Canis lupus familiaris: one gene and its partner. The protein of the gene in region 2 purifies or fractionates together with the protein of the main gene of each other region. This does not show direct contact. Links are inferred from orthologs where the notes say so. Each region holds a gene or a part of one and is shown on either strand. Other genes may lie near its edges.

Region 1 (4,071 bases), on a different chromosome or scaffold from region 2:
GAGTCCAGGTGCCTGGCACATACCAAAGACCTAATTTACATTTATTGATATAGGATAAGTAAGTCCAGCTTCCTTCTCTCAATGTGCTGACCGACTAATGATGGGAACAGAGACATGCCAAACGTAATGCCTACTGCTGAAGTCTGAAAACAAAATTGGAGGCGTGGTGATTTGTTTGGAGGGGAGGATGGAAAAAGCATCAGACTTTTGAGCTGAGCCCGAAAGGTTAAATAGAACCCAAGAAAATCAGATGGGATTGGAGAGTCCAGACCCAGTACAAAGCATAGAGTAAATACAGAAAGCAGAGTGTGCATTTGTTCACATTCAACCTTATCATTAAGTCTCTTTAGCTTGGTCAACACAGTGTGAGCTTATTGTGCACTGACTTTCCTTCCTGGGTCTGGCATCAAACAAACAACCCTTTGTTTTTACAGTACACTCATTAACCCTATTGCTTTTTTTTTTTTAATATAAAAAGGTCCACGATGAATGTCCTTAGAAAGTGGAGAAGTAAATGTTTAGTGAATCATAACTCTTTTCTGATAAAATTCTTGAAGCACAAACTTGAAACGGATTCCTTACAATAGTCAAGGAGCCATGTTCTTAGGAATCAATGGGGTTCAAACTAAGTTTTCACATTATCGATTAAGCATGTAATGGTCACCGGCTTACAAAATGGAACATTAAGCCTCTAGATTTACATTAACATTTCCTCTTTGAGAGGAACACCAAACAGATGGTTCAAAGTTCCTTCACAAGATTCTCTACATCCTTTGCTCTCATTTAAGTGTGCCCAAACATGAGATAGTTAACAAACCACTTCCTCCAAAAGCCTTTGAGTCCCTACATCTGCAAGCACAGTACCCATGGGATCAGGACTCAGGAGAAAGAGCACAAAGGGTGGAAAGTATTGCCATCGCTTGGGTGGTGAGAGGAAGGATGTGGGTGTCTGAAGGCTACTCTGAAGCAGGGAAGAGGCACGGTCTCCAGTGGTCTTCCAAATACCAACTTAGGCCATGTTTTTTTGATGTCCCCAGAAACTTGTTTAAATATAAGGCCAACACAACACCACTGGGCAGACGAAATTTCATTTCAAGACTTCAGCATTTCTTAAGACTTCAGAGAAGAAGTCTGGCTGCCTCGCTCTTACTAAACGCCAATTATCTGATGCAGAAGCAAAATTCTTCTGCCCCCACACCCATGTTTTGCACCCCAGCTCTTGAGTACCTATCCCCCGAAGAGAGGAGGTTAAAACAAGGCAGAGGAGGGCTACCTTGACAGTGAAGCAACTCTGGAGACGGCTGGCATCATTTCCCCCTTAAATCTAAGGAACACTGCAGCTGCCAGTCAACAGCACTGGGTCCATGAATGTGGCAAAATGACAGCACCTGCCACCCTGCAGCATCTGGGGCCTTTTATTTATTTATTTATTCTGGTCAATGTGGCAGGAAAGACTCTCGGAGAGAAAATCAACTGCTTTATCTGAGAGAAAGGGAAGCCCTAGTGAAGAGAAATAAGAATCATCGTGCCCATCCTTGGGTACTTTGTGCGTCTCCTCTCTGTGCACTGAAAGGGCTCTTTGTGTCACACACACACACACACACACACACACACACACACCCGGCGAGTCTGTGTGATTTATTAAGGGGAGGAGGGGCAAGAAGGGTGATTTTTATTATCCCTCTTCTCACGGAGTCCCAGCAAATCTCCGCCTGGGCCCAGCCTCGGTGGCCTCTTTCTGGCCGGGTCCCCTCCGCCTGTGGCCGCAGAGATAAGAGCGGCGGAGGCGACCAGACAAAAAACAGTCCTCGATGTGGGGAAGTGGAGAGGAAGCCCAGCGGGCAGGGATGGGAGGAGAAGGGAGCCTGGGGGAGCAGAAGGGGTGGGGAGGCAGAGGAAGGAGGCCGAGGGCTCCAGCACGGGGGCCGGGGGAGGCTGGGTGGGTGGTGGCACAGGAAGAGTGAAGGGGAGGATGGGGGAAGTGCTAGGGAGGTGCCAGAAATAGGCAGGAGGATGCGCTGAGGACGGCGACGGCCGCGGGAGGAGGCCGAGGGGGAGTGGGGCAGGGGTGGGGTGCGCTGGGGAGGGGAGCAGCACGGGGCATCAATTATTAAGTGATTACATCATCCCTGACATTAGGACAACACACACACACACACACGCGCGCGCGCGCGCGCGCACACGCACAGCCGGGTCCCCGCGGGGGCCCCCGAAAGGAGGGCGAGGGTGGAGCCCGGGCCGGCCTCGCCCCCCGCGCATCCCCGCGCCCCCCGGGCCGCGCCCCGCAGAGGCGTCCCCCGCTCCGCTCCGCTCCGCGCCGGCCCGGAGCCCGGCAGCCCCGCGGGGCGCCCCGGAGGCGGCGGCGGCGGCGGCGGCGAGACTGCAGCGCCGGGCGGGGGCGGGCGTCTCCGCAGCATCCCCCGCCCCCCGCGGCCGCTTACCTGCGCGGCGCTCAGGCTCCGGAGCCCATGCACATGGTCCTCCCCGCCCTCCTCCGGCGCGGCCGAGGCGGCTCGGCGGGCCCGGGAGCCGGGGGCCTCCCGAGGGCGCCGAGGGGGCGGCGCCGCGTGTGCCCGGGCCGGCGGCCGGATCCCTCTCGCCGGCTTTGTGCGCGGCGGGCGCTGCCGGGGCGCGGGGGCTGCAGCGCCGCGCGTGCTCCTCCGTCCCGGGGCAGCCCGCCTCTGCCTTCGCGGGCGGCCTCCGCTCACGGCGCCCCCTCCTCCTCCCGCGCGGCAGCCCCCTCCCCGCCGCTCGGCTCCTGACAGATGGCGCAACTGCAGGGACGCGCCGCCGCCGCCGCGGCTGCTCGCAGCTACTCGCGCGGATGCTCCGGCCCCTCCAGCCCCAGCCCCGGAGTGAGGACGGGGCGGGACGCGCGCGGAGACTGGCAGGCCGCGCCGGCCTATCGCAGCACGCGTGCGGAGCTGCGGCCGGCGGCCATTGGTGCCCGCGGCGCGGGGGGCGGGGCCGCCGCGGCGGGGGCGGGGCCGCGGCGGGGGCGGGGCCGCCGAGTGGGCGGGGCGTTACTGTGGCAGCAGGCGTCCTGGCGCGCGTGCCGAGTGGGCTGCGAGAGGGGATGCGAGGCTGGAGGAGTTGTGTGTGCTCCGGGGGATCGCGTGGACTCGCGAGGTCGTGGGCTCGGGCGGGGGAAGGAGGGGACAGTGCGAGCTGCAGCTCCTGCTTTGCGGGAGGTTGCAGCTGCCACTGCAGAAAGGCATCTGCCATCCCACCCCCCCCCACCCCCCGCACCCAAAACCAGGGGAACCTGCCTGGAGAAAGGGCTCTCTTGCCCTTCTGCTGCCTTTTCATTTGAAGGTGGGAGGGTAAACTGGGAAAGGGTTAGGTGGTGAGGATGTTGCCGCTCATCACACTGGGGAGTGTGGAGCAAGGTAAGATCCAATCCCAGGAACTCCGAAAGACCCGGAGAACCCTGGAAACGCACAGTTAATATCAATAATAATAAAGAGAAGGAGGAGATTAAGATTAATCTATTACTCTTGCATTTCCGTGGACGCACACATTTATTTTCAAGCAAAAGCCTGGAAGAAGTAGTATTGAAATAGGGGGAGGGGTGGAGAGGGCAGGTGGCGACTTAGGAATCTGAAATCACAGAGTAGAGATTTGTTTGTATAGTTTTTTTCCCCCCAAAACCATGTATAATTGTAGCTGTTGGTTGTCTTTGGTTTCTCGTGACATTTCGCTACTCATGGTTCCCCCCCCTCCCCTTCACCAAATCTCAGCTTTTGCTCAGATTTTCCTTGATGAACTAATAGCCGGTTAAGTATACAGTTCGGAGTGCATCAGTCTTTATTTCCTATCCAGCTTTTCTATGGCAGGATGTAACTTCATAAAAAGAAACACGTTGGCTTCCTGATTTTCTTTATAGGTAATTCCTGTTTACTGAAAATTCTCCTTTAAGGCATGCTCAGAGTCATTCTCCTTAGTGCTTTTGGCAAGAACCCTACCCTTCCCCCTCAGCAAATCTAATGTTCTGAGAAATAGAAGTGAATTAGCTTCTGATTCTATGCTCAAAATCTATATTACCTTTCCTGCCCACTAGTTTTTTAACCA
Region 2 (4,244 bases):
TTGTTCTCCAGCTGGGACTGAATTCATGCTCAGGTATGATGCTCTTTGTGGATGGAGATGACAGCTGCCTGTGCTGGTTTTCTAGGCCATGTGGGTCACTGCAGCCACATCTGCAGGCAGGAAACAAACCAGAGAGCACCGTCCTCCAATGTGAACTGTCACATATCACTTTTACCCCCTTGATTCTCTGAATATATGAACAGGGAAGTAAAAAGCAATGGCATCCACTTGAAAGTAAAGGAGAAAATGTACTTCACCCCCTTGCACATCTACCTTGTGCTAGGCCAAGCAAGTTATTTAATAATAATTATGGTAATAATAATAACTCCCAGTCTTGGAGAACTATGTTGTGAGTCCTGGTAAGCACTTTGCATACTTTAATGCTTAACTTGAATTTCCTTATCTGTAAACTGAAGATAATAATACACATATCTTATTACTATGAGGATTAAAGGAGAATAGATGGAAAAAGTACTTTGCAAGTTGAAGCAGCAAGGTCAAAAGGGAGAGGATTTGAAAGAAACCAGTTAAAATCCCAACTCGATCTGATCTCACTGAGCTTCAGTTCCTCATCACCCAAGTGGAGAGGAAACCACCCACCCCAGTGAAGAATTGAGGGAGACAGTAAATTAAATAGCAGCTGGTGTGCATCACTAGAAAGTGTTTAATAAATGTTCATATTCTCTCTTCTGTTATACATGTGACCTGCTTCCATTAACCTCCATCAGCAAGCAGCCGTCCAATGTCCCTGTTATCCAAAGATGCATTTCCCTTTCATAGTAATGATGATTTTATCAGTCTAACGTGCCAGACACTGGCTCAACAGCTTTACAGCTATGAACTCACTTAATCCTCATCATAATCCCGTGAGGTACGTACTACTGTCATCCCCCATTTTATAGATGAAGACACTGAGGCAGGAGTTTAGCTAATTTGCCCAGATTAAAAACAGATGGTAAGCAAGTCAGGCGCTGAGCTGTCTGTCTACCCTCCTAACCATAAGGCAACAGTGCTGATGGGGGTGAGTCTGTTCGACATTCCATGCTTGGATCTATTCTCTTCTAGACATAAGCAATGGACGCTCTCACAAACCACAATGTGTTGACTAACTTTTCAGCCTCTGGAATAACATTTTAATATTTTTCTAGAATTCTTCAAAAACCTATGATTTGTTTTTAAATGCAGGGCCTATAACTAGCTCATCTTGTTCTATGTGTTGGAATGCCATAAATAAAAGCACTTCTCTTTCTCAAGATTGCCTAGATAAATCTTACATTAAGACACATCCCTGAGTTTGGTTTAAACATTTATTATAAATCCAAATTTAAACAAATATATATGTATATATACCTTCACACACATATAGGATGTGTGTTTAATGCTGTTAAACATTAACAGCTTAATGCTGTTTCATTAAACTAATGACTCTGATAGCAAATAACCTGAAAATTCTCATTTCGAATCTTCAGTCTTAAGTCATAGCAATACCATATTTATTTCAAAGTGTTCTTTTTACGAATTTAATTGACTCAAATATTAAATAAACATCAATGATGATAATGTATTGCTCTACTTAATGGGAATCTCTAGGGGACAGATGAAAAAGAAAGGTTCTAGAATTCTATCCTTCAAAGCAGGACAGGACAGCTACCCATAAATCATACTCTTTTTTTATTAAGATAATTAAGCCCACCAGTAGTACACTTAACTTTCAGACTCAACAAATGTCTGGGATGAACAATTCCCACTTTTTCTAAAACAAAGAGGATGTGTTCAAAAAGGGTCCTCTGCAAGCTCTCTGCACAATGCACGCTATTTTAAAACATGATTTATGTGTCTAATTCCTGGAGCTGCCTTGAAAAATATACTGGGTTCTTCCTCGCATGCTACCTACTAGGAGAAGACACTCCAATTTGAAGAGTGCCCTCTGTTTCAGACTACAAGAACGCTATATCATGTCAGCATTTTCATTAAATACTGTTCAAGCTGGACCTTAAACAAATGGAAGGGAGAGCCACAGCTGCAGCCACTGCAGAGACGGTTATCCCGCCGGGAGGCTTATATAAGAGGCGCAGGGCCGGCAGGGTGAAACCCAAGTGTCATCATCCAAATCCTATTTCTTTGAGACTTGCCCACATTCTTGAAATGTACGAAATCACAGACGATGGACGGATTTCTCATTTTATTTGCCTGATGGCACAAAACGCCGTGTTGACTTAACAACTTGTTTTCTCCCTAAACGCCTGGGCTCCAATGAGGGAGACGCTGGCAACTTCTGCCTACGGGAAGAGCGGAGTGGGATGCGCGCGAAGCCCCAAGGACTGGCTGGCTGCCGTCCCCAAAGACCCATCGCGTCCAGGGGTCACTCCCCCGAGGGCTCAGGAGAGAGGTAACGCGACCCCGCACGCTCCCTCCACCGCCAAACGCGGTCCAGGAGCTCGGAACGTGCAGTCAGCGGCAGGCGAAGCGCCCTGGGAGCACCTGTCCTCCCGCAGCACGTTTCCAACCCGCACACTCGTCCTCTCCCCGCGCGCCGGGTCCGCTTCTCCGCACCCCGACCTCCCCGAGCCCGAGCGCGGCCCCTAACACACGGGGGCCACCCCCAGCTTCATGCAAAAACGATCATGCCAACGCACCTCCCCTCCGCACGGCTCCCTGCAACTTCAGAAACTACAGTCAACTTACCGGGACGCGGAGACCGGGAGCCCTCCGGGGTGGGGCGGGGGGACCGCGCTCGGCTGCGCGCAACCCCGCTGGCCCCGCACCGCCCGGGCGGCTGCACGGCTGCTCGGCTGCTCGGCTGCACGGCTGCTCGGCTGCACGGCTGCACGGCTGCACGGCTGCTCGGCTGCTCGGCTGCACGGCTGCTCGGCTGCACGGCTGCTCGGCTGCTCGGCTGCACGGCTGCTCGGCTGCACGGCTGCTTGGCTGCTCGGCTGCTCGGCTGCACGGCTAGGCGCCGCCGCTCTGCACCAGCCGCCTCGCTCCGCCGCGCCCGGGGCCGGGGGCACTGGCCAGGGCGCGGCGGCTGCGGCGGCACCGGCCGCGCGGACCCGGAGCTGCAGAGCTGCAGGCGCCGCCGACCCCGGAGCGCGGCGCTCCGAGCCCCCGGCGCGTGTCTCCGGCTCCGAGCGAACGGCCGCTCGGCGAGGACCGCGGCACCGGGAGAGCCGAGGCGCCGTGCCCCGCAGAGCCTCCGGGGGGCTCCCGGGCGGCCGGTCACATCGCGCGCGCAGCACCGCAGTCCGCACTCGCCGCCGCGCCGCGGAGAATGACAGGCGCCGAGGCGGAGCAGCCGTGCGGGGCGCGGGGCGCCAGTGCGCATGATCCCGGCCGGCTGCGGCACGTCACGGGGGAGGGGGAGGGCGGGGAGGGAGGGGAGGGAGGGGAGGGCGGGAGGGAGGGAGGGGAGGGCGGGGAGGGGGCGCGCTGGGCGGGGCCGGGGCGGGGGCGGGGGGGGGCCTGGCGCCGCGCCCCGCTCCGCTCCCTAGCGGGGAGGCGCAGGAAGTCTCCGCCTCGGGGTTCTGCGAGCCCTGGAGCCGCGAGGTTGAACTTGTCTGCAGAGTCCATTGTCCTTGACCCCCCACCCCGCCCCGTGTGCTCTCAGGGGTCCCCAGGGCGCTGGGCAAGCCCCGAAGAGCCACGTTAGCTCAGGTATAGCTTAATCGTGAGGGCCTGCCACTGAGGGGACAGGGGTCCTCCCCACCTGGCTGTACATTACAGAATGACTTGGGAAGCTGGTGGGAGCCCTTTGCCCTGACCGCACCCCTGGAGTCCAGACTTAAGTACCGGAGAATCCCTGGGTGAGGCTCGGGTATCAGTAAGGTTGTAAAGCTTTCCAGATGATACCGGGGTACAAACAGCAGAGGTTTTTCAAAGCTGTAGCGTTTGTCAGAATCTTCTGAGCATTTTGAAAGAATGCAGATTTCTGACTCACTAGGCCTAGGCGTTAAGGGAAGATCCTTCATTCCTAACACGATCCCAGTTGATGCCAGTGCTGTGCTCTAGCACCGGACCACCTTATCCTTACTACCCTTAAGTATAGTGTAGGATCTGGAGCAGAGCTTCTGAAAGGTTGGGCTGTGTGAGAATCACCTGAGTAATGTTTTTGTTGGTTATTGTTTTTTAATTGCAGAGCACATTCTCAGGCCCTCCCCATGTGGTTCAGCCTCTGGGGCTCTGCTAATTCTGATGGGTCTGACGATGGGTGGTGTTTGAACAAACCTGGTGATAGTAGGCCAGCA

The links. The genes of interacting proteins can lie anywhere in the genome.
Region 1: the proteins of PAG1 (region 2) and FYN purify together in Homo sapiens (co-immunoprecipitation; 3 studies listed by BioGRID and IntAct, with this or other methods). This does not show direct contact. The link is inferred for Canis lupus familiaris from reciprocal best matches to the Homo sapiens genes PAG1 and FYN.

What each region holds. Positions count from the first base shown.
Region 1 is NC_049233.1:68,719,599-68,723,669, forward strand, and holds the start of FYN (tyrosine-protein kinase Fyn), read right to left. Parts: upstream 2,808-4,071; 5' UTR 2,442-2,807; intron 1-2,441. UniProt on the Homo sapiens protein: Non-receptor tyrosine-protein kinase that plays a role in many biological processes including regulation of cell growth and survival, cell adhesion, integrin-mediated signaling, cytoskeletal remodeling, cell motility, immune response and axon guidance.
Region 2 is NC_049250.1:28,910,264-28,914,507, forward strand, and holds the start of PAG1 (phosphoprotein associated with glycosphingolipid-enriched microdomains 1), read right to left. Parts: upstream 2,808-4,244; 5' UTR 2,686-2,807; intron 1-2,685. UniProt on the Homo sapiens protein: Negatively regulates TCR (T-cell antigen receptor)-mediated signaling in T-cells and FCER1 (high affinity immunoglobulin epsilon receptor)-mediated signaling in mast cells.